Linked DNA regions of Schizosaccharomyces pombe. Changing the gene in region 4 together with the main gene of any one other region gives a genetic interaction. Each region holds a gene or a part of one and is shown on either strand. Other genes may lie near its edges. The genes, in order: csx1, upf1, atf1 and cip1.

Region 1 (4,791 bases), on a different chromosome or scaffold from region 4:
GTTTGCTTTTTTTTTTCGCTCACCATCCTCCCACATCAATCCTTACCTGATTTTCTCTCTCTCACGCACATACTCTCTCTACTGCCTTGTGCTCTCTCTGTCTCTCTCCCTTGTCCTCTTTCGATTCTTAACCTCGTAAATCTTACATCCATTTTTCGGACTTTGGTTTTCGGTACCGGTGCGCATCGCTGTCTCGCTTTTTTTCCTCGCTACGCATCCTTATTGCTCTCTTGGGATTTCGCCACTTTCCCTCGCCTTGCTTGTCTTGTGTTGCCTAGCTGATTGCATAGCCCATACTTCATTTGTGTTTATTACACACCGTACCCCCCTTGTTGTGTGTATACGTTTTTAAGGTCTCGCTATTTAAAGTGCTTGCCTAGTCTGGACACGCTCCTACTCTCTCCCATTCACTTTTACTTTTCACTCGTCTCCCAACGGTTCATCCTTTCTTTCCTTTACTTTGCTTTGCTTCGCTTTGCATTCGGAACCGGTTGTACTTTTTTTTTCTCTTTTTCGCTGCGTGACTTATTTATTTGTATTTTACCGAATTCCTCTAGCATTCCAGCGTTCTATCCTATCACCACTTTTTTTTTCATTTTTCTTCTTTTTCCCCTATTGAACGATTTCTCCTCTTCCCTACTCTATCGTTCCCTCTAAATTTTCCGTACCTTTTTGCAGATTCCTTACTTGGTTATATATTACTGACTGCTTTTGGTATCTTTTTTCCATTCTTCTTCTCGTCTCTTTCAAACTCTACCTTTCTCGAGAAGGAAAATTTTCCCTTTTACTTCCTCGCATACCGTATCCTCCTATTTAGCTATATCACTAGCGAAAAAAAGGACTACTCGATATCAAAAGGATTCGTTTGTTCTTTATATATTATAACATACATATACTGCACAGTATATATATATAAACCTATAATATACGGACACCTCTTTTTCCTGCATTGTATATATATTATATTTATATAATATATAATATAATATAATATATATATATATATTTGTCATTGTTGCTGTTGTTCTTTAACTTCATCAAAGAAAACACTTCTGTCCCCCCTGTCAGGTTCCTTCGTTTTTTATTGCACATATATATATATTTTTATTTTATTTTATTTTCTTTTCTTCTTCTCTTTCTGTGATTGATTAACTCGACTCGATTTTCTTTTTTCCTTTTCTTTATTTTCTCTCTTCCAACCTTTGGTTTCTTTTTCTTTTTTTTATTCTTCATACCTAATAATTTTCAGAAGAGACCTTGTTCATCGTTGTTTCCTTTTTCTTTCGTACATTGTATTACTTGTTTTATTATTTTTAAAATAAAAACTGAAGAACCCTGCTTCATCACAACCATCAGGTTTTCTTTTTCGTGTACCCATTCAGTGATTTTAACGAATTTTTCTTTCACGCCTCATTAAGGATTGTATTTTCGCTTTTTGTCTCATCAACAATCGAATAACTTTGTTTCTGTGTTTTTTTTTTATATTTTCACTTCAACAAGCTTTTTACCGCGAAACCATCTCATTTATTAATTTCCTTTTATTTCAGATCGATTTTGATTTTTATTCTTCCAATCCTCTTTAATACTCGATCTTTGTAACACTTTGTTTTAGTACTTCTTTTATTCCTGAATCTTTTTTTTTTTGCTCTTACCGTTACACTTTACGCAAGCAAAAAAAATTTCTCTTTTTTTTTTTATTAAATTGTTCTTGATTGTTCTATTAGCATTTCTTCATCTCAAGAGTTCTTAGACCTCTCGCTTTTTCGTCCTTGATTTATTTGTCTGTACGTTATAAGCTAAGCTTTATTTTGTTCATCGTTGAAAGATTCTACCACCCATTGTCTTATACTGGTTACGTTTTTTGACTTTTGTGTCTCATTGAAACTTTGTTGTTCATTCATATTACTTACTTTCTTTTACTTTTTTTTGGATATCTATTTAAATGTCTATTGACTGCCTTTATCGCCGTTCTTCATTGTTTGATACTTCCTTCGTCCCTTTGCATTCGTCTATTCCAGCAACCTCGAAAATGTCAGCTTCTAATTCAGATGTCAATGCCCCCATTTCCCCTGTGGTTGATGAGGGCAAATCAGAGTTAGTTTCTCCTACTTTGGAGAGACTTGTGGCTCCTTTCAACTGTTCTCCTAGCTCCACTCCACTTCAAGATGTAGCAGGTGTTGGCTCGAAAATGAGCGACACCTTATGGATGGGTGACCTGGAACCTTGGATGGACGCTACTTTTATTCAACAGCTCTGGGCTTCCCTCAACGAACCTGTCAACGTTAAAGTCATGCGCTCCAAAGCATCCTCTTCGGAAACGCTTATCAGCTATTGCTTCGTTCAGTTTTCCTCTTCTGCAGCTGCTGAGCGTGCTTTGATGAAGTATAATAACACCATGATTCCTGGTGCTCACTGTACCTTCAAGCTTAACTGGGCTACTGGTGGCGGCATTCAACATAACAACTTTGTTTCCCGTGATCCTGAGTTTAGTATCTTCGTTGGCGACCTTCTTCCCACTACCGAGGATTCGGATCTTTTTATGACTTTCCGTTCCATATATCCCTCATGTACCTCAGCCAAGATCATTGTCGATCCCGTTACCGGTCTCAGCAGGAAATATGGCTTTGTTCGCTTTTCAAGTGAGAAAGAACAACAACATGCCTTGATGCATATGCAGGGCTATTTGTGTCAAGGTCGCCCCTTACGCATCTCTGTCGCTTCACCAAAGTCTAGAGCCTCCATCGCCGCCGATTCTGCCCTTGGTATCGTTCCTACTTCTACTTCTAACCGCCAGCCTAATCAAGATCTTTGTAGCATGGATCCTTTGAACACTACGGTGTTTGTCGGTGGCTTGGCTAGCAATTTATCCGAGAAAGATTTGCAAGTTTGCTTTCAGCCCTTTGGAAGAATTTTGAACATCAAGATTCCCTTTGGCAAGGGATGTGGCTTTGTCCAGTACAGTGAAAAATCTGCTGCTGAAAAGGCCATAAACACTATGCAGGGTGCCTTAGTTGGTACTTCTCATATCCGCCTCGCGTGGGGTCATAATACGCTTCCTGTATCTGCCTTGTCTCAATCTCAATCCCAAGTTTCAGATGAGGGCTTCGACAGAACTCTTTCCGCTAACCAAATTTTCGGTATGAATCAATCTGTCATTGGAGCAAACTCTGGCAGCTCAAACTCATCCGGCTCTAGCTTGAAGAGTGCACCTGTTTCACCTCGTACTGCTGCTGCGCAATCTTTGTTGCCAAACTCCGTTGTTTCCTCAATCAATGGCATGAACTCCGTAAATTTTTCAACCATTTCTCCACCTCCTTTGTCTCGTTCAGCCTCCATTTCTCCTACGTTGTCCGGTAGTGGCTCAGGTTTGACACCTCTTTCTTCCCATTTCCCTTCAGCTGCCACTGGCTTGGTAGGCGGACAGGTGTATCCTCAGTCTTCTGTTTTGCAATCCTCAAAAATTAATGGTTCTGCAAAGGTCCAGCCTAGTGTGAAGCTCCCCGAATGGTTGCAGCCTTTTTCCGGCAACAATCATAACTCCTTTGCTACTCAAGATTTATTAACACGTGTTTCCTCCTTAAAGTTGGTTGATGATGAGCAACCTGCTTCTTTGAATGGTTCAGCATTTCAAGCGAGAGCTTCTAGGCCTTGGAACCTAGGAAGGGAGCGTCAGTCTTCACTAATTGATCTCCGTCATGAGTTGGAGCAAAATGAAAACGGTTTGGAGAAATCCGGCTTTGGTTTGAACTTGAGAGGTCGCTTGCCTCCTCGTTCTTATTCTACATTTAATTGTACTGGTCAATACTTGCAACCTTCTCTACGCTTGTCACGCGATTCATAAATTATTTTTATGATGTTTGAAATGCATTACTACTACTACTATTTGTTTCTTCCACTTCTCTTCTTAAGTGAAGGGATTTCCCGAATATTCTTGTTTTATTTCTAATGTTTTTGTTTTAATTTTTTATTTATTTTCGTTTTTCAAAGGCATCCGTATAAGTTTTCGAGGGCTCCTGATCAAGTTAGTTTAATGTCTTAAAGAACTGAAGGGTGCTCTCGTGATTTTTTTTATTTTGTTTTGTTTTTATTCTTGTATGTTAAATCTCTCTTGTGATGTTTTTTATAACTGTTGAATATTATTTGTGCCAAGGATTGTTTTATTTATGATTGTTTTATTTTTCTTTCATTGCTGTTGTTCCTTAATGCACATATGTACATGAAAACTTCCATTGAGGTTTTTCAAACGTCCAAATCTTTTTTTTGGATCGATGAGTTATTTATATGTTTTATTTTAAAATGTCCTTTCCAAAAAATAATTTTGTTATTTTTTCTTCTGATTTTCTAAATAATTAAAAGCATTGTTTTTGTTTTCAACTTATATAATGGAAATTTTCCAGTGACTGTAGTAGATATTGGTAGCTTGTCGATTGTAGCTTTTCAATTAAAAGTTTTAAATCTGAAACTTGAATTTCAAACACATTTCTCTAAAATTAGTCGAAAAAAATGTAAGTCAATTGAACAAATACTTTTCTGATGCTTTGCATTATCCGATGCACCTCTTCAGTATGTGCCATAATATTAAATGCCCAAGTAAAGACATTTATGTTTATCCCTTTCTAATTTTCACAGAACATAAAAACATCATTTTAATTAAGACTTTATATGATTTTTTTTTTACAAAAATAGCTATTCAATATGAAAGATTGGTAGAAATATGTTTGCCTAGAAAGTAGCACCCATTTACCAACATGCGACGATACTTAAAAAAGGCGAAGCCTAAAATCGTGCAAA
Region 2 (5,531 bases), on a different chromosome or scaffold from region 4:
GAACTTTTGAACCGGGAGCCCTCGGAAGTCTACGTAACGTAGAAGCGGATGAATAACTAGAAATTGTTGAACCTGGAGGGCGAAATTTCGAATTTTTGTTAAACTTCTTACCACTTGGTCTGTTACCATAAGTGTCCAGAGGAGTTGTAGAACCAGAAAAACCAACAATTTCTGACATAGGAGAATAAGGCCTATTATTTAAAGGAATACTTTTATATGGACTAAAGTTGAGATCTTTTTGATGATCATTGTCTCTTTGGGACGTTAATTTCGTAGATTGTGATGCATGTCCGTATGAACTGCTCTGAATATTATTATTAAAATTGGATGGTTTCATTCGCGAAGCCATTCTTGCAGTATCATCAGCTCTTTTAGAATTTTTTCCGAGGGTTCTGGGTCCATTTACTATAGAAGACCGTGGTGAAGCAAATTGAGAACATTCATGGAATTTCGATTGTTGTGGATATTCATATTTGTTAGTTTCAGAAGATAATGTTTTTTTTTTGTTCATGGGATAATTCGTTCCTCCTGGGGTTTCATCTAGCTGATTAATAGTTTCTTCGTAAGCTAAAGTTTTTGTCTTGCTTAATTTGTTGAGTGGATGTCGGTTTTCGACTGTAGGGATGGTTTCATATTCTTTGCTGGAATTGGGATTAGCAAGCTTTTCTAGTACAATGCGACGGTTTTGAGATATAACTGGGTTGTCTAATTTTCCACTCTGTATGTTGTCATGAAGCGATGCATCTTGTAAACCATCCAAAGTACTCAAATTTTTATTCAGAAAGATTTCTTTTAGATCTGCAAAATGATGCAATCCTTTTTTCTGTGCCAAGTGTTCATCTTTAAAGGACTTCTCTTCTATTCCAACAGCCGATTTTTCTTCATTTTGATCGGGCTTGTTAGGCCTTTTCACACTATTTATTAATTCTGTAAGTATTTTGCTATTGTGTGAATATTGGCGTTGCGATAACAGAAATACGGGCTCTTTAAAAGTAGAATGAGCTCTTAGAGGACTGCATGTCTGTTCAGTCAGATTATTAGGAGAAAGGAAATTAGACACTGGGGCTGAGGAACTTTTACTCTCCTGTTTAGGCAGCGTTTCGCTTGTACTTATTAACCCCACCATTTATAATTGTTGTCGAAGTTGATTAACGTAAAGAAAGTAGAAAAATCAAATAATTAAAGGCACTAGCTGCTTAAACCAGGGTGGGGAAAAATGAAATGTTGTGAAACGAAAAATAATTTTAAAAGAAGGAATTAAACCCGGATTTGGAGAACAAATACTTACAAGTAAATCAACTTGTTAAACGCAGCATTCGAAGTCCCCTCTTTGAAGCCTCTTCAGTTCATGAAGAGTTTGCCGCTAAGCACCACATAAACTCCAAGAAGTTCAGACAATTAAGAGGCCTGAAATTCTTAAAATTATTTCAATTTGGATAGTTTCACACGGGCAGTTGTTGTATAGGTGGAAGTAACACACTCCTTGAAAAGTTCAAAATGGGTAACGGTACACTTGGTATGCTAACTTCCAGAGCGAGTAGATACAACTCTCATGTTAATAAATTTGTATAGAGTCCGATATTAAGTTAAAAATATCTGTTTATTACTTTTCGACAACTGTTAGTCAAAAAATTAATAGTCTTCAATATGATTGTTTACATGGTCTCAGCAACCGTTTATATAATTTTGTTTAATTCCAATAGTGAGCACCGATTTGTGTCACAATACTACAGTGCTCTACCTTATTTAGTAATCTATAGTACGACCAGCTGTTTCAAGAACGTAAATGATCATCTCGAAACTGACAAAATTTATCTACCCTGAATAGATATAATATCTTACAAGTAAATGAGTCTTGCTATTGTTAGTTTTTCCCATTAACGGCGTTTTTTGTTTACGTTTTAGGGAGCTTCCTAGCAGCACATTTTAACTCATTAAACCTCACTAAATGACTAACCTTTCTTTCTAAAAATGTGTTACAATTATTTACACTTTGCAAATTGACGGCTTAATAACATATCAAGTTGTCTTTCCATGTCTTTAGGGCTACAACCTAATAATGATATTTCATCTTTAGTTAGTTCAAAAAATATGACTTCTGAAAATGGACTAGAGCATCAATTTGAAGAATTATTAGTCGAAAAACAATATTCTGAAGAACACTGTGCCTATTGCCACATAAAGAATCCAAATTCTATATTGAAATGTTTGCATTGTAATAAATGGTTTTGTAATGTAAGAGGGAAATCTGGAGCTTCGCATATCATTAGTCACCTAGTTCGTGCTCGACATAAGCAGGTTGCTTTACATAGCCATTCTTCTCTTTCAGACACAGTACTTGAGTGTTATAATTGTGGAACGAGAAATGTGTTTCTATTAGGATTTATACCAGCAAAAGCTAAGACAGTGGTTGTTTTATTATGCCGACAACCTTGTGCTAGAGCTAGCATAGCTAAGGATATGAACTGGGACTTGACTCAATGGCAACCCATTATTTCAGATCGTCAGTTTCTTCCATGGTTGATAACTCCTCCATCCGAAGAGGAACAAAAGCTTGCAATCCCAATCACTTCACAGCAAATGGTTAGGCTTGAAGAACTTTGGCGTAAAGACCCTAATGCTAACCTCGAAGACTTGGATAAGCCCATTGAGGATGATTCATTACCTTCAGTAGAACTTCGATATAAAGATGCTCACGCGTATCAAGCAGTTCTTTCTCCGCTCATTCAAGCGGAGGCTGACTATGATAAACGACTCAAAGAATCGCAGACTCAAAAAGATGTTGTGGTTCGGTGGGATCAAGCTATCAATAAACGATATACTGCTTGGTTTCTCCTTCCCAAACTTGAATCTGGTGAAATTCGGTTGGCCATAGGAGATGAAATGAAGCTTACATATGAAGGAGAACTAAGAGCACCCTGGAGCTCCACAGGATATGTTATTAAAATTCCTAACAACGTTTCAGATGAGGTAGGTTTAGAACTGAAGCGTTCAGATAAAGTACCTATCGAATGTACTCATAATTTTTCCGTCGATTATGTTTGGAAATCTACTTCATTTGATCGAATGCAGACTGCTTTGAGGTTATTTGCTACAGACGGATCACGTCTTTCAAGCTTTTTGTATCATAAATTGCTAGGACACGATATCCCTCCTTCCTTCCTGAAACCAAAATTACCGTCTGATTTATCGGTGCCTAATCTGCCAAAATTGAATGCTAGTCAGAGCGAAGCTGTTCGTGCAGTATTAAGTAAGCCACTCTCGTTAATTCAAGGGCCGCCAGGTACTGGAAAAACTGTCACCTCAGCATCTGTAGTCTATCACCTGGCCACGATGCAATCACGCAAGCGTAAATCCCATTCTCCCGTATTAGTTTGTGCACCTTCGAATGTTGCTGTTGACCAACTTGCTGAAAAAATACATCGTACAGGACTTCGTGTCGTTCGAGTTGCCGCAAAGTCTAGAGAAGACATAGAATCATCGGTTTCCTTTTTATCTCTTCATGAGCAAATTAAAAACTATAAGTTTAATCCAGAGTTACAACGTTTATTGAAGCTACGAAGTGAAAATAACGAATTATCTATTCAGGATGAAAAAAAACTGCGTATTTTGGTTGCTGCTGCCGAAAAAGAACTATTACGTGCGGCTCATGTCATTTGTTGTACTTGTGTTGGTGCTGGTGATAGAAGGATTTCCAAGTACAAATTTCGTTCAGTACTTATTGACGAAGCTACACAGGCTTCAGAACCTGAATGCATGATTCCTTTAGTTTTAGGCGCCAAACAAGTAGTACTTGTTGGTGATCACCAACAACTGGGACCGGTTGTTATGAATAAAAAGGTTGCATTAGCTAGCCTTTCCCAATCACTTTTTGAGCGACTGATTATATTAGGAAACTCTCCTTTCAGATTAGTTGTGCAATATCGTATGCATCCCTGTCTTTCAGAATTTCCATCGAACACTTTTTATGAAGGTACTCTTCAAAATGGTGTCACTACTTCTGAGCGTATTGCTAGACATGTTGATTTTCCATGGATACAACCTGATTCGCCATTAATGTTTTATGCAAATTTCGGTCAGGAAGAGCTGTCGGCTAGCGGTACATCATTTTTAAACAGAACGGAAGCCTCAACGTGTGAAAAAATTGTTACCACATTTTTAAGAAGCAACGTGCTTCCTGAGCAAATTGGTATTGTTACTCCATATGATGGTCAGCGTTCCTATATTGTTCAGTACATGCAAAATAACGGATCAATGCAGAAGGATCTTTATAAAGCTGTTGAAGTAGCATCGGTGGATGCGTTCCAAGGAAGAGAAAAGGACTTCATTATTTTGTCGTGTGTACGTTCTAGTGAACACCAAGGTATTGGTTTTGTTAACGATCCAAGAAGGTTGAACGTTGCATTGACTCGAGCAAAGTATGGTGTAATTGTTCTCGGTAATCCAAAAGTCCTTGCTAAACATGCTTTATGGTATCATTTTGTCCTCCATTGCAAGGAAAAAGGATATTTAGTTGAAGGCACTTTGAACAGCTTACAAAAGTTTTCCTTAACCCTTACTCCTCCTCAGAAACCTCAAAAATTTAAAAGAGACCTCAATGTACAAAGATCACTATCTCCTATACAGAATGCCGGTTCTGCCATGTTACCTTCGTTTTCTAATCTTCCGAACTTATACTCTTCCTCGTATCTTGAAGAATGGAATGTCTTTGCTCAATACAAACGAAGAGAAAGCAACGCTACCGACTTTGAAGACTTTAGAAGTCAGGTTGGTGATGATGAAAGCAAGTTCGACGAACCTACTAGGTTCTAGTTAATAAGTATTTGCTTACTTGTAATTACGAATGCCAACATATCTTTTATTTGTTGATATTTTTGGTGTTCAAGTTTTATGGACCGTTTGGTCTGTAAGCGTTTTAAACCATTGATATGGCTGTTAAATAGACTTTAGTAATAGAACCTTTCCTTATCACTTTCTTTTATTTTATTCCTCTTTGTCTAGTAAATGCATCTTACTCATATATACTTATATATACTTATATATACTTATATATACTCACACGGTACAATACGCGTATAAAATTTAAGTATTGAGAAGTTGTTAGTATAAAATAGAACTTTTGCCCTATTAGGAAGGATTTGCAATGATTAATTGCATAACGAAAATTTTTTAAAAGCCTTAATGGAGAAAAGTAATGTAAAATAAGCCAATTACAACAGATAGCCAGTTCTAAGAGGTTTTATAAATACAACATTAGCAAAAAAATAACAGAAAACAACCTTTTCTGACGATTTGAACACGACAGATTAGATTAACGTAGTCTGATTTTATACAAAATGTAAAAATATCGTAAAAATTCAAGTGCGTGCCTTATTGAATAAAGTGCGTAGTGCAATAGGTAGGTTTGGGTGCGTTCTCGCAGGAAGTAGTGCGCTTTTTACGTCTGGAGGAATAACCTCTAACTCTCGTTTTTTCCTTTCATTATTAAACTTTTTAGCTTCTATGCCAATCGCGTACAAAAAATCTTTGAT
Region 3 (6,106 bases), 2.7 Mb from region 4:
GCACGGTCAAAGTATAGAGGATCAGTGGGGATAAACTTGAATTGCACAGATAGCTCGCCAGCAAATTGGAACTCATTTTTTAGTTCATACCATTCACTTTGTAACTCTTCTTTCATCGCTTTCTCAAAAGACAATACAGTATCACCAATCAAGTGTGGATGCTTTCGAAATCCCTCGTGAAAAACGGTTATTTTCATAATATGATAAGATTCACTGGGAATGTTAAACTCCAGTACCGCATTCCACGATGGTTCTTGACCGCTTCTCTTATCCGTTTGCGTACGTTTTACCACCTCACCAACTCTGCAAACGCAGTAAGGGCTTTGTTTGCCCACTAGAGCCTTGTTTGGTAAATTTTTCTAAAGAAGACACGTTAGTTTTACAAAACAAATCTTCATCTTTTAAGACTTACAGCTTTCCATATTCGGACAACCAACGTTCCAAGAGGATTCTTTGACATATGGTAGATGGAGAAACGGGTTATAAACAAAAAAGCTACTTTATACAATTCGAGTGCGGATTTTAAGCAGTGCAGCGCAACTTCTGTAGGAGGGGGCTGGTTTGTCTCCGATAACGGGGGTTAGCTTTCGTTCATTCATTTAACGTAGCTTACTGCAATTTAAAATGCTTTAACGGAAATTTGTGTACGCTACGATATTGATGGCTCCAGTTAGGAAATTCGTGAAGAAAGATGCCGTGTTAAAAAAAATTAAAAATTAACAAAAAAAAAAAAAAAAAAAGAGAGACGAAAGTTATCGCAAACAAAAAGAACTTTATTAATATAACTAATTGCATTAATGATTGACTCAGTACACACCACACAAATATATTCACTTAATTTTAATTGTTTTAAAATGAGTGTAAAATATCTATTGGTATAACCAATTCCATCACAATTGCTAATTGAATGGAATGATTTGCATAAAATGTTTCTAACTTAATTTTTTTATTCTTTTATGTTTCACGAATACAAATTTATTTTGTTTTTAAAAAACTTCATTTTCTTTGCTTATCTTTTGGGTAGTTTTCGGATCCGTAATCCCAACAAAATGCCAACCCGTATTGACTAATAAGTTCCCGAAAATGTAAGCAAAAGATTTCATTGTAAAACAAATGAATTAGCTATTAAAACTGTTATTTAAATGTTGTAAGGGTTGGTATGTTATATATACAATCTAAGTCTATGTAAAGACTTTTTGAAAGATCCTACTGTACAGAATTCTCCATAATTGAATTCGTGACAAGTACTCATAATATTTGAAACTTGTATATTATTTCTGCGTATAACCTATCTTTATTTTTATTTTAATTTTATTTTTTACTTTATTTTATTTTATTTTATTTTATTTTTTCGTAGGTCTTCTGGAACTGCTGGATCTATTCATACATTGCTAATTACTCAGCGTACGTACACATCTTACAAACACGCAGAAGTCCAACCTAAAACACTTACCTACATACAACATAATATCAGAAATACACGCAACGATTTAGCTTCATCAAAGATATATTATTTATTCATTCATCGGTTAATATAAAATAAGCTTGAGTTAAGAGTGAAATAAGATTCATGGCACTATACACAAACTCACCATTTTTACTACATATTGCTAACATCATATTTGCTTAAAAAGCACGCACTCCATGATATACCAATAACATCCTACTTTCCGTCCATCCTTTCCCATTCCCCAAACTATCGATACGTTTCTTAACGATACGATAACACAAAATACAAAACTACACAGCAGTACTTTAAGTATCGTCTTGCTCGGTTTATTCCAGACCCATTTCCTTGTTACCCTTCTTCAGAGCCCCGCACGTGATTGGTTAAGTTCAATCATGCAAAGTGATGCAATGACGTCATCTGTTTGAAACAGGTGGAAGTGTGGCACTAGGAATTTACAACTTACCCTTTACTTACAACATAAGAAGAAAGAAACTACTTAGGAAATTGCTAAAAAGTTTACTTTGAGCACTTTTTGAACGATTGAATTGACGAAAACCATTTTTCTGTTTGTAAATTTCAGTTTGGACAGTTGACCGAGTCTTTTCATCATTTATACAGTAGTCATCGCTTAGTTGGATCTGAATTACGAATTCTCTGGTTCATGACGACGACCTGCTACTAGTACGTTTGGTTGATTAAGTCAAATAGGTATGTGTTTATACATGCAATTGTGAAGTTTGATTATGTAAAAGGCTGTAAAATTGGAAGAGCGTGATAAAAACGTGACGGGTTGTGTTGAAAACCGAATTTTTATGAAAATTTGAAAATTTGCTCCTATCGTCATTGACCCTACTAAACATGACGAGTATGACGCTTTCTTATCAATAACACTGATCGTTATGGGGTTGTTAGTTTACAGGAAACGTAAAATGTGTTTGGAATTCCTTCGTTTTTTGAGGGTTTGGAAATTTTTTTTTGGTGTTGTTGTGCTAGAAAATTTTACTTGTTACCATTGTAGGTTACTATTGCCTTGACTGAACTGGGATCTATGTGGTGGCAACTTTTGATGAATGATTTCTCGGAAGTGAATAAACGCACACGGGAAGAGAACAAGAGTAGAAAGGAAGCTAGAAGAGCGGAAAACCCGTTTTGTCTCGTTTTTGGCAAAAAAATTTCCAAAAAAGAAAAACGGGTGTTTTAGCAGGTGTATTTGCTGTTGAAGTACGAATCTCTTTATTACTCTACGCTTGACTGTACTCTCTCACATTAAGTTCTGAAACTCATTCAAAAAAGGCCTCCACATTCATATAATCCAAATCAACACACCCTAACAAAAACGATCGAACGAAGAAAAGGAAAAGAACAAAGAGTAGGAACATCCCTTTTATCTTTTGTAATTCTTTATTAGTTTCTTTGTTATTTTATTTGGACATGTTCTTTTACAAACTTGACTATTACCTTTGCGAGTTTTTTTTTACCCTTTGTAGAATATCTTCCTTCACAATCTTGCATATCTAGTCTTCTAGCTTTGCCTGTACAGACATCTAACTAATTCTCGTCTAGAGCCTCCGTCGCGGTTTTCCCTTTTTTTTTCGAGAAAGTTGTATTTTTATCTCCTTAATCTCCTCCTCCTTTTTTTTTCTTTTCTTTTTTATTGAAACAATATAGTTTCTATTTTTTCTGCTTTATCAGCCGTTATTACTTCTGTCTTGTCAAATTTGGAAAGCCATTAATTTCTTGTAGTTGTTTTTTTATTTAGTTTTGACAAAACTATTTTCGATCTTCTCTTTAAACGGGTTCATCTATATATCTAAATTATTTATTTTCGTTATTTAAGCGTGTGTGATTTTTAACGTCATCTCTTAATACATTTTGTCAAGTGTTAAAGCATAAATTCTTCAATTATGTCCCCGTCTCCCGTCAATACTTCCACAGAACCAGCATCTGTTGCCGCTGTTTCAAATGGTAATGCTACTGCTTCCAGTACTCAGGTTCCGGAAAACAATCAATCTGATTCATTTGCACCACCAAGCAACAATTCTCAGCAGAATCAACAGTCTTCAACTATCGCTCCTAATGGAGGGGCCGGATCTGTCGCTAATGCGAATCCAGCTGACCAATCCGATGGTGTAACTCCGTCTTTCGTAGGCTCCTTGAAGCTGGATTACGAACCCAACCCCTTTGAGCATTCATTTGGCTCTACCGCTTCGGTTGGACAAGGAAATCCTTCTCTTAATCGTAATCCTAGCCTTAGTAACATTCCTTCAGGTGTGCCTCCTGCGTTTGCGCGAACTCTCTTACCTCCTGTTTCTTCCATAGCATCACCTGATATCTTAAGTGGAGCTCCAGGTATTGCCTCGCCGTTGGGCTATCCTGCTTGGTCTGCTTTTACTCGTGGTACAATGCATAATCCCCTTTCTCCTGCTATTTATGATGCTACTCTTCGTCCTGACTACCTAAACAATCCTTCAGATGCATCTGCAGCAGCTAGATTTTCTAGTGGAACTGGATTTACTCCTGGTGTTAATGAACCCTTCCGATCTCTTTTAACCCCTACTGGAGCTGGATTTCCCGCTCCTTCACCTGGTACTGCCAATTTATTAGGGTTTCATACGTTTGATTCTCAATTTCCTGATCAATATCGTTTTACCCCAAGGGATGGTAAACCGCCTGTTGTAAATGGGACGAATGGTGACCAGTCTGATTATTTCGGTGCCAATGCTGCGGTTCATGGGTTATGCTTACTCTCCCAGGTTCCCGATCAGCAGCAAAAGCTTCAGCAACCCATCTCCTCTGAAAACGATCAAGCAGCATCCACCACTGCCAACAACCTCCTGAAGCAAACTCAGCAACAGACTTTCCCCGACTCTATCCGGCCATCTTTTACTCAAAATACTAACCCCCAAGCTGTTACAGGTACAATGAACCCTCAAGCATCTCGTACTCAGCAACAGCCTATGTACTTTATGGGGTCGCAACAATTTAACGGCATGCCATCTGTTTACGGCGATACAGTTAATCCTGCCGACCCTTCATTAACATTACGCCAAACCACGGACTTTTCCGGACAAAATGCCGAGAATGGATCCACAAATCTACCGCAAAAAACTTCTAATTCTGATATGCCAACGGCAAATTCGATGCCGGTCAAACTCGAAAATGGTACTGACTATTCCACTTCGCAAGAGCCTTCTAGTAATGCCAATAATCAATCCTCACCCACTTCTTCCATTAATGGTAAGGCTTCTAGTGAATCTGCCAACGGCACTTCGTATAGCAAAGGTTCATCTCGCCGGAATTCCAAAAACGAAACTGATGAAGAGAAACGTAAAAGCTTCCTGGAACGCAATCGACAAGCTGCTCTTAAATGTAGACAGCGTAAAAAACAATGGCTTTCTAATCTTCAAGCGAAGGTTGAATTTTATGGTAATGAAAATGAAATTTTAAGTGCACAAGTCAGTGCATTACGTGAGGAAATTGTGAGTTTGAAGACCTTATTGATTGCTCATAAAGACTGCCCAGTGGCCAAGAGTAATTCGGCTGCTGTTGCAACAAGTGTCATCGGAAGCGGTGATCTTGCTCAAAGAATCAATTTAGGGTACTAGACTGTTTTTGATCTGAAAAGGTCTCAGTCTGTGATGGTTGTAATGAAGAATAACGTTTTTACTTCCCTTTGACTTTCCCTCCGTTGAGGGTTGTAACGCCCTTTTCCATGCATTTAGCTATGTTATGGATGTGAAATTATATATGTTTATTTTACATTAAAAAATCTTTAGGCTTCTCTTTTTATATTTCTTCCCGTTTTCCATTACTGTTTTAATTTTGCACTGAACGCCGTCCCGCATGCATACTTTTAGTACTTTATGAAGTGATAAAATTTGTCTGTCGTGTCTAGTTCACTATAATATCGTTTGGACAACAAAAACTACACGCTTTCTTAATGTTTACCATTCATCACATGTGGCAGAGTTATAGAATACTACTTATAACTCATTCTTATGAGATTGATTTGATTTAATAATTAAAACTATATTATTTAGTAAGAATCAGCAGTGTTTTTAATAACAACTGATTACTGTTTTCCTTTAATGTAAGAAATCAACAAGTCTTAGTGTATTGTGGGAGTATTAATATCGTGAACAGTATATAAATCAAGTTAATGAATAGGTTTGTCATCGGTCATTTACATATCTATTATCATACGAACATGCATTCATAAGATGAAATCAAGTTAAAATTTGCACCTTCACAATATTTACTTTACTTAGTGAGTGTTTGTCGCTACATTGAGGATGTATACAAAAAGTGAAAATGAAATTACTGATGTTCACATTACAAAACGTATATAAAAATGCAAACGTTTGTTTCAATTTAGAACGAACTATTCAATTCTAACAACAATTAATAAAAAATAACAAATTAGAAAGCTTAATAAACATGAGATAAACTTGTTGAACGATTGATTAAACACAAATCTAATCATGCAACGTAAAAAAAAATAGACAACAATCAATCATCCAAAAATATATATTGCATAGATGTTGAATATTCAAACACTAAAAGAAAGTGTAGACATAATTAATTCACGAAGCTTTAGTATACAAATCAATGCTTATAATTTTTATCATTTGTTAAAAGATGGAAAAAAAAAACAAA
Region 4 (4,647 bases):
GTCTTCAGCTATAGTCGGCAAAGCAGTGGTGACAATTGTATTATCTAATGCAGCAAGAAACAAAGTAAGAATTAAGGCAGGAACCACTATTTTCATATTATTTTCTGGGATTAATTGTATATTGGTATCATCATCATTAGAAGCAGATTCTTGTTTAGAGAATTCAGTGGATTGCTTATGCACGTCAAGTTCATTCACTTTGTTTTCATCCGGAACTATGTCGGTTTCTTTAACTTCCTTTTCTTCATTGGAAGGATATGCTGTCAATATAAAAGGACTGGTGGTCTTTTTAAGGGATAGTCCATCTATTGAATTTTGCCCTTCAGCAGCATTTGTTTTAGAGCCGGAAAATGAGTTGTGAGATGAAGAACTAGACATTGCGTATAATTTATGCTCTTGAATAATAAAAATTTTTTAAACAAATGGCCGCTAGTTGAGATGGACGTTTTTTAGACAATTTTACAAATATTTTTAAGGGGGAGAATAAAGAAAAACAAAGACAAGTAAACAAGGAAATATCCTAATAATAAAGCACTAAAAACCCTATCCAAACGCTTATATATTCCTTATAGTCAAATTTCTCATTGTTGAGTCTTATGGTGATTAATTTGGTAAGCGGCTTGCTAGTGGTATTCAGTAAATTTTTATACAAATATGTGTCTAAGTGATTATCACGAAAATCAGACTACTAGCACAATAACATAATCCATCGAGATCTAATACAATTTAAATAAGGAGAAAAGTGAGAGATGTGACATATATTTGTATGCACACTGACAAATTGTTTTGCAGTATTTGCTTTCTCCGGTACGTCGCTCCCCCTTATAATGAACTTCTTTAGTAAGCAGGAGGAGCTTGAACGCACTTCTCAAGAGTGCATCCTTGTTGTCATTCTAGATATGGTTAAACGACAACATGCGAAATATATCAAATAGAAATTTGCGTGGAGATTCCGCGTATCTACAACAGCTTTTAGCCACGTGTCAATTACACGAACCAAGTTTGAAGTGGTAAGATTTCTAAAATGTAATAAGAAACGCAAAAGGAGGTTTTAAAAAGTAATTTTTCCTCGAAGTGTGATACTTGAGTACATTTCAAAAGAAATGGGTGTGCACGGTGAAGCCTTTAAAAGTCATCTAACGATAGTAATTAATGCTGGATGGAAATAGTTCTTAACGCTTAATATAAGTGGTTTTTATGAAATAGAATAAAAGGGAGGATCGCTGCAGCCGTCAATGTACAACAACATGGCACTTGCTTGACATTTTAACGACTCAGCGAACGTATAGTAAATAAGATTACTTCGATAATTAATAGGTGTCGGTTGAAATAACATTTCGTCTATTAGCGAATGAAGGATCGATAATAAAAGCATTCAAATATGCCTGGCATTGTACATTTCCATGATACGCCTTAAAACAAAATAGCAAGTCTGAAGTCAACAGGAACAGTATAGTAAAAAGAAATAGCAGAAAGGAAGAAAAGTTAAGCAATGCTCAAGTCTACTCGAATTTGGCTAATGGAGAGTCCAGCTGTCTACTTTTATTTATCTATACTCTTCTACAGCTGACAAGATACTCGTTTTCGGTAAGGCACAGCTAATTTAGATTACTCGTTTATCATGAGAGATAGCAAAAAAGCTAAGAACAGCTTCAATCGGCTTTTTACGTTCATACTGCTACTCAATATGTTCAGATTTATATTCCTATTAATTATTAACTGCCTTACTATTTACGCAAACAAGTAAGTATATTTTTTTTTGTGTATAGTAAAGTGTTTGCTGCTTTTCGTTGTATTTTGTTAAACAATTTGGTGTGCTACCGTGTGATGCTGCTGAAAGAGACGCTCAATTAATCCTTAGACTGAACTAGCATCTACAAGTGCAGTATTCTAAGGGGCAAATTACGGGAATTTCCTAGTCAATTTTCTCTGTTTTCACATATAACTTTTATTCCTCAGAATATATCTGGACTCGTTCCCCCGCATCTAGAATGCCTAATGAAATATTTCCCTGGAAAATTCGTGTGGATGAAAGTCGAGGATTAGCAGGTAATTCTGGGACGAAAAAATCAAATCATGAAGCATTATCAAGATTACAATCACCCTTGAATTCTCCTAAGCTACAGCCAATTGGTTCTCCTCAGGCTTCTAGGAAAACAAGCGGTTCCGGTTCGAGTGCTCCGCTGTACCCCAAATGGTCCGGTGCCCTTTCTCTTGCTAGTAGTCGTGCTGCATCGCCGGCTCCTTCTGATAGCTTTCCTACTTTTGGTTATTCTCAGCTTGGTGGGCTAGAAAATAGTTCTAAAGGTTCCGCGCTTTTTAACAGCGCCAATTCTATTGGAACTCCGTACCTCTCGTCCAGGAACTCAAATTCAGCAAATGAGGCGAGTGCTATGGCTTTCCACAATGTCTCTCCTCCTAGTGGTGCTGAATCTTCTTCAGAAAGTAAAAGCTTTTCTGCCAGTGGAAAAGGCAATAAAGCTGATACATCCGCAGAGCCTTCGTTGGATGCTTTTAACAGTACCCAAATCAAAGCAGGATCGACTGCCAATTCTAATTCAACACCGGTTGAACCCGGTGAAGATACCATTCCAACGGCTATTGTTGTGAAAAATATTCCTTTCTCGTTGGAGAAAGATACATTGTTGGATCATTTTAAGCAACTAGGTATTCCCAGACCTTATGCCTTTAATTATCACTATGACAATGGAATATTTCGAGGATTGGCTTTTGCTAATTTTTATCGTCCTGAAGAGGCTCAAGTTGTTGTGCAAACGCTTAATGGCTATGAAATTAATGGCAGACGTCTTCGTGTTGAATGGAAACGCCAATTACCAGCTGCAGAACGCGAGAAGGTGGAAAAAGCAAAGAAACGTCAAGCTGAAGAAAGACGTCGTAAACAGCAGTACAAGATGTTTGAAGTTAGCTTTACTGATCAAGGCTTAAATTTGAATGACACTGGTACCCTTGAAACTTATAGTAGACTTCTATTGTTTGCTCATCAATGCATTCCTTCTCGTGAAATAACATTTGAAACCACTTCTAAGGACGGAAACCTTCTAAATGCCATTAGAATCTTTTGCCTGTACTTTGATCTCGATTACTATGCTCGCCCGAATGGAGAGGTGTTAAAATTAGTAGTTACTCATCCGAATAAAAAGAATACGAGCGTAAGTCAGTCGCAACCTGCATCTCCAAATTTAAGATTTAATATGCCGGCACCGTTAGCTACTCGATTTTTGCAAGAGCATTCATTGAATGGTACTAAGAGTGCCCCTATAACCCCACCTCCCAGTTTCGCAGTACCATTGACAAACCAACTTCGTTCGATTGACGACAAAATTTATGGAAATGAATCACCGCTTCAAAAGGCTTCTACTTTGAGTTCACCTTTCAATTCAAAAAATGATAATGATGCTTCTACCTCCGCTTCCAAGCAGAGTTTTGGTGTCTCCCACTTTTAGAGTCTATGCAATTATAAAGAAACTGTTTATGTACCTTTTAAGATATGATTTTTGTTTACGCCAACTATAGATGCATTTACTATACGCTATTTGTTTTGACTAAATTTTGCTCTTTATCCCTTTATCACTTACTTCTGATGAATCTAAACTCTATGGGCTTCATTTTGTTGATTTTTTGTTTTCCCTTTCACATAGTTGGTTATCCAGCAAATAATCCTTTTAAATACTTAGAAGCTTATATTTTATCGTTTTGAATTCCCACGACACATTTGGACGACTCGACTTAACAGCAATCAATGATGGATATATGTTGGGTGAGGCATAATGTTTTATGACGATAATCAACGGATGAGCGATGCTCCTATTTTTTTACAAATTATAACGATTTTTCTTGTATAAGAAATTTATGCCCTACCGTATAATATACACATACTTTACATGATTAAATTTAACCTTGGACAAATACATTAGTCTGATATTACAAAATTGAACTTTTATTTTTGTAAATTTAATCATCTTCTTTATGTGGATGTGAATGTTCCTAGCTTAGTATTACCGTACTATGGATATAGAAATAAACCTACGATTTAAAGTCTATTTTCTACCAAGCTTGTAGGGCTTTAAATGAGCTACTTTAAAATTACCTAAAATATCGTTAAATTTTCCTATATAATGCGAATTGATTTATATGTAAAAAAGAAAAAGAAATTGCAAGCATGGTGGACTTTTAGTTCCATTGTTAGTAAGTTGTAATTAAAGGAAGTTACAAAGGATTCACTAAAATAAGAATACTTTATGGGTTATCGCAGCCTTACTCAATTACTGCACTTGAATGTCTATTGAATTTAAGAATGAAGAAAGGATAACACAAAGATGCACGATTCTTTTTGGATGAACTTTTATTTTTTGTTAAGGTTATGAAAAAAGATGAAATACACTTGACCTTGTAATTACTGCAGCTAGAAAAAGAAAATATTATAAAAACCAGTTTCATGAGTTATGGCTGGAAGTACCGCACAACACCATAAATATTGATAATCTGCTATATTGCCGATAATATAAAGTTAAATTAGTAGAAAAAGTAAACTAAGAAACAGAAATTTTCTTATTTTACCCATATAAACCTATGTATTAGAGGATAGCAATTGTATTTATGAGTTCGAGGGGAACAAGATCATCAACT

The links.
Region 1: of cip1 (region 4) and csx1, a mutation in one rescues a mutant of the other (synthetic rescue), as found in Schizosaccharomyces pombe (one study listed by BioGRID).
Region 2: of cip1 (region 4) and upf1, a mutation in one rescues a mutant of the other (synthetic rescue), as found in Schizosaccharomyces pombe (one study listed by BioGRID).
Region 3: of cip1 (region 4) and atf1, a mutation in one rescues a mutant of the other (synthetic rescue), as found in Schizosaccharomyces pombe (one study listed by BioGRID).

What each region holds. Positions count from the first base shown.
Region 1 is NC_003424.3:3,569,497-3,574,287, reverse strand, and holds csx1 (RNA-binding protein Csx1), read left to right. Parts: upstream 1-1,942; coding exon 1,943-3,841; 3' UTR 3,842-4,281; downstream 4,282-4,791. Other genes in the region: spliceosome complex disassembly protein Ntr2, read left to right, coding at 4,749-4,791. UniProt on the Schizosaccharomyces pombe protein: Regulates global gene expression after oxidative stress. Interacts and stabilizes atf1 and pcr1 mRNAs after oxidative stress, thus controlling their turnover.
Region 2 is NC_003424.3:800,591-806,121, reverse strand, and holds upf1 (ATP-dependent RNA helicase Upf1), read left to right. Parts: upstream 1-1,988; 5' UTR 1,989-2,034; coding exon 2,035-4,812; 3' UTR 4,813-4,981; downstream 4,982-5,531. Other genes in the region: DYRK family protein kinase Pom2, read right to left, coding at 1-1,126; Clr6 histone deacetylase-associated PHD protein-1 Cph1, read right to left, coding at 5,358-5,531. UniProt on the Schizosaccharomyces pombe protein: RNA-dependent helicase required for nonsense-mediated decay (NMD) of aberrant mRNAs containing premature stop codons and modulates the expression level of normal mRNAs. Also capable of unwinding double-stranded DNA and translocating on single-stranded DNA.
Region 3 is NC_003423.3:1,544,307-1,550,412, forward strand, and holds atf1 (Atf-CREB family transcription factor Atf1), read left to right. Parts: upstream 1-1,910; 5' UTR 1,911-2,158; exon of another isoform or gene 2,159-2,554; intron 2,555-3,013; 5' UTR 3,014-3,354; coding exon 3,355-5,055; 3' UTR 5,056-5,556; downstream 5,557-6,106. Other genes in the region: contractile ring-membrane anchor Fic1, read right to left, coding at 1-359, 413-460.
Region 4 is NC_003423.3:4,261,290-4,265,936, reverse strand, and holds cip1 (RNA-binding protein Cip1), read left to right. Parts: upstream 1-1,859; 5' UTR 1,860-1,991; coding exon 1,992-3,464; 3' UTR 3,465-4,119; downstream 4,120-4,647. Other genes in the region: SPOM_SPBC16A3.17C (transporter), read right to left, coding at 1-378; NuA4 histone acetyltransferase complex subunit Eaf7, read left to right, coding at 4,618-4,647. UniProt on the Schizosaccharomyces pombe protein: Regulates global gene expression after oxidative stress. Interacts and stabilizes mRNAs and may regulate their transition between different cytoplasmic components after oxidative stress.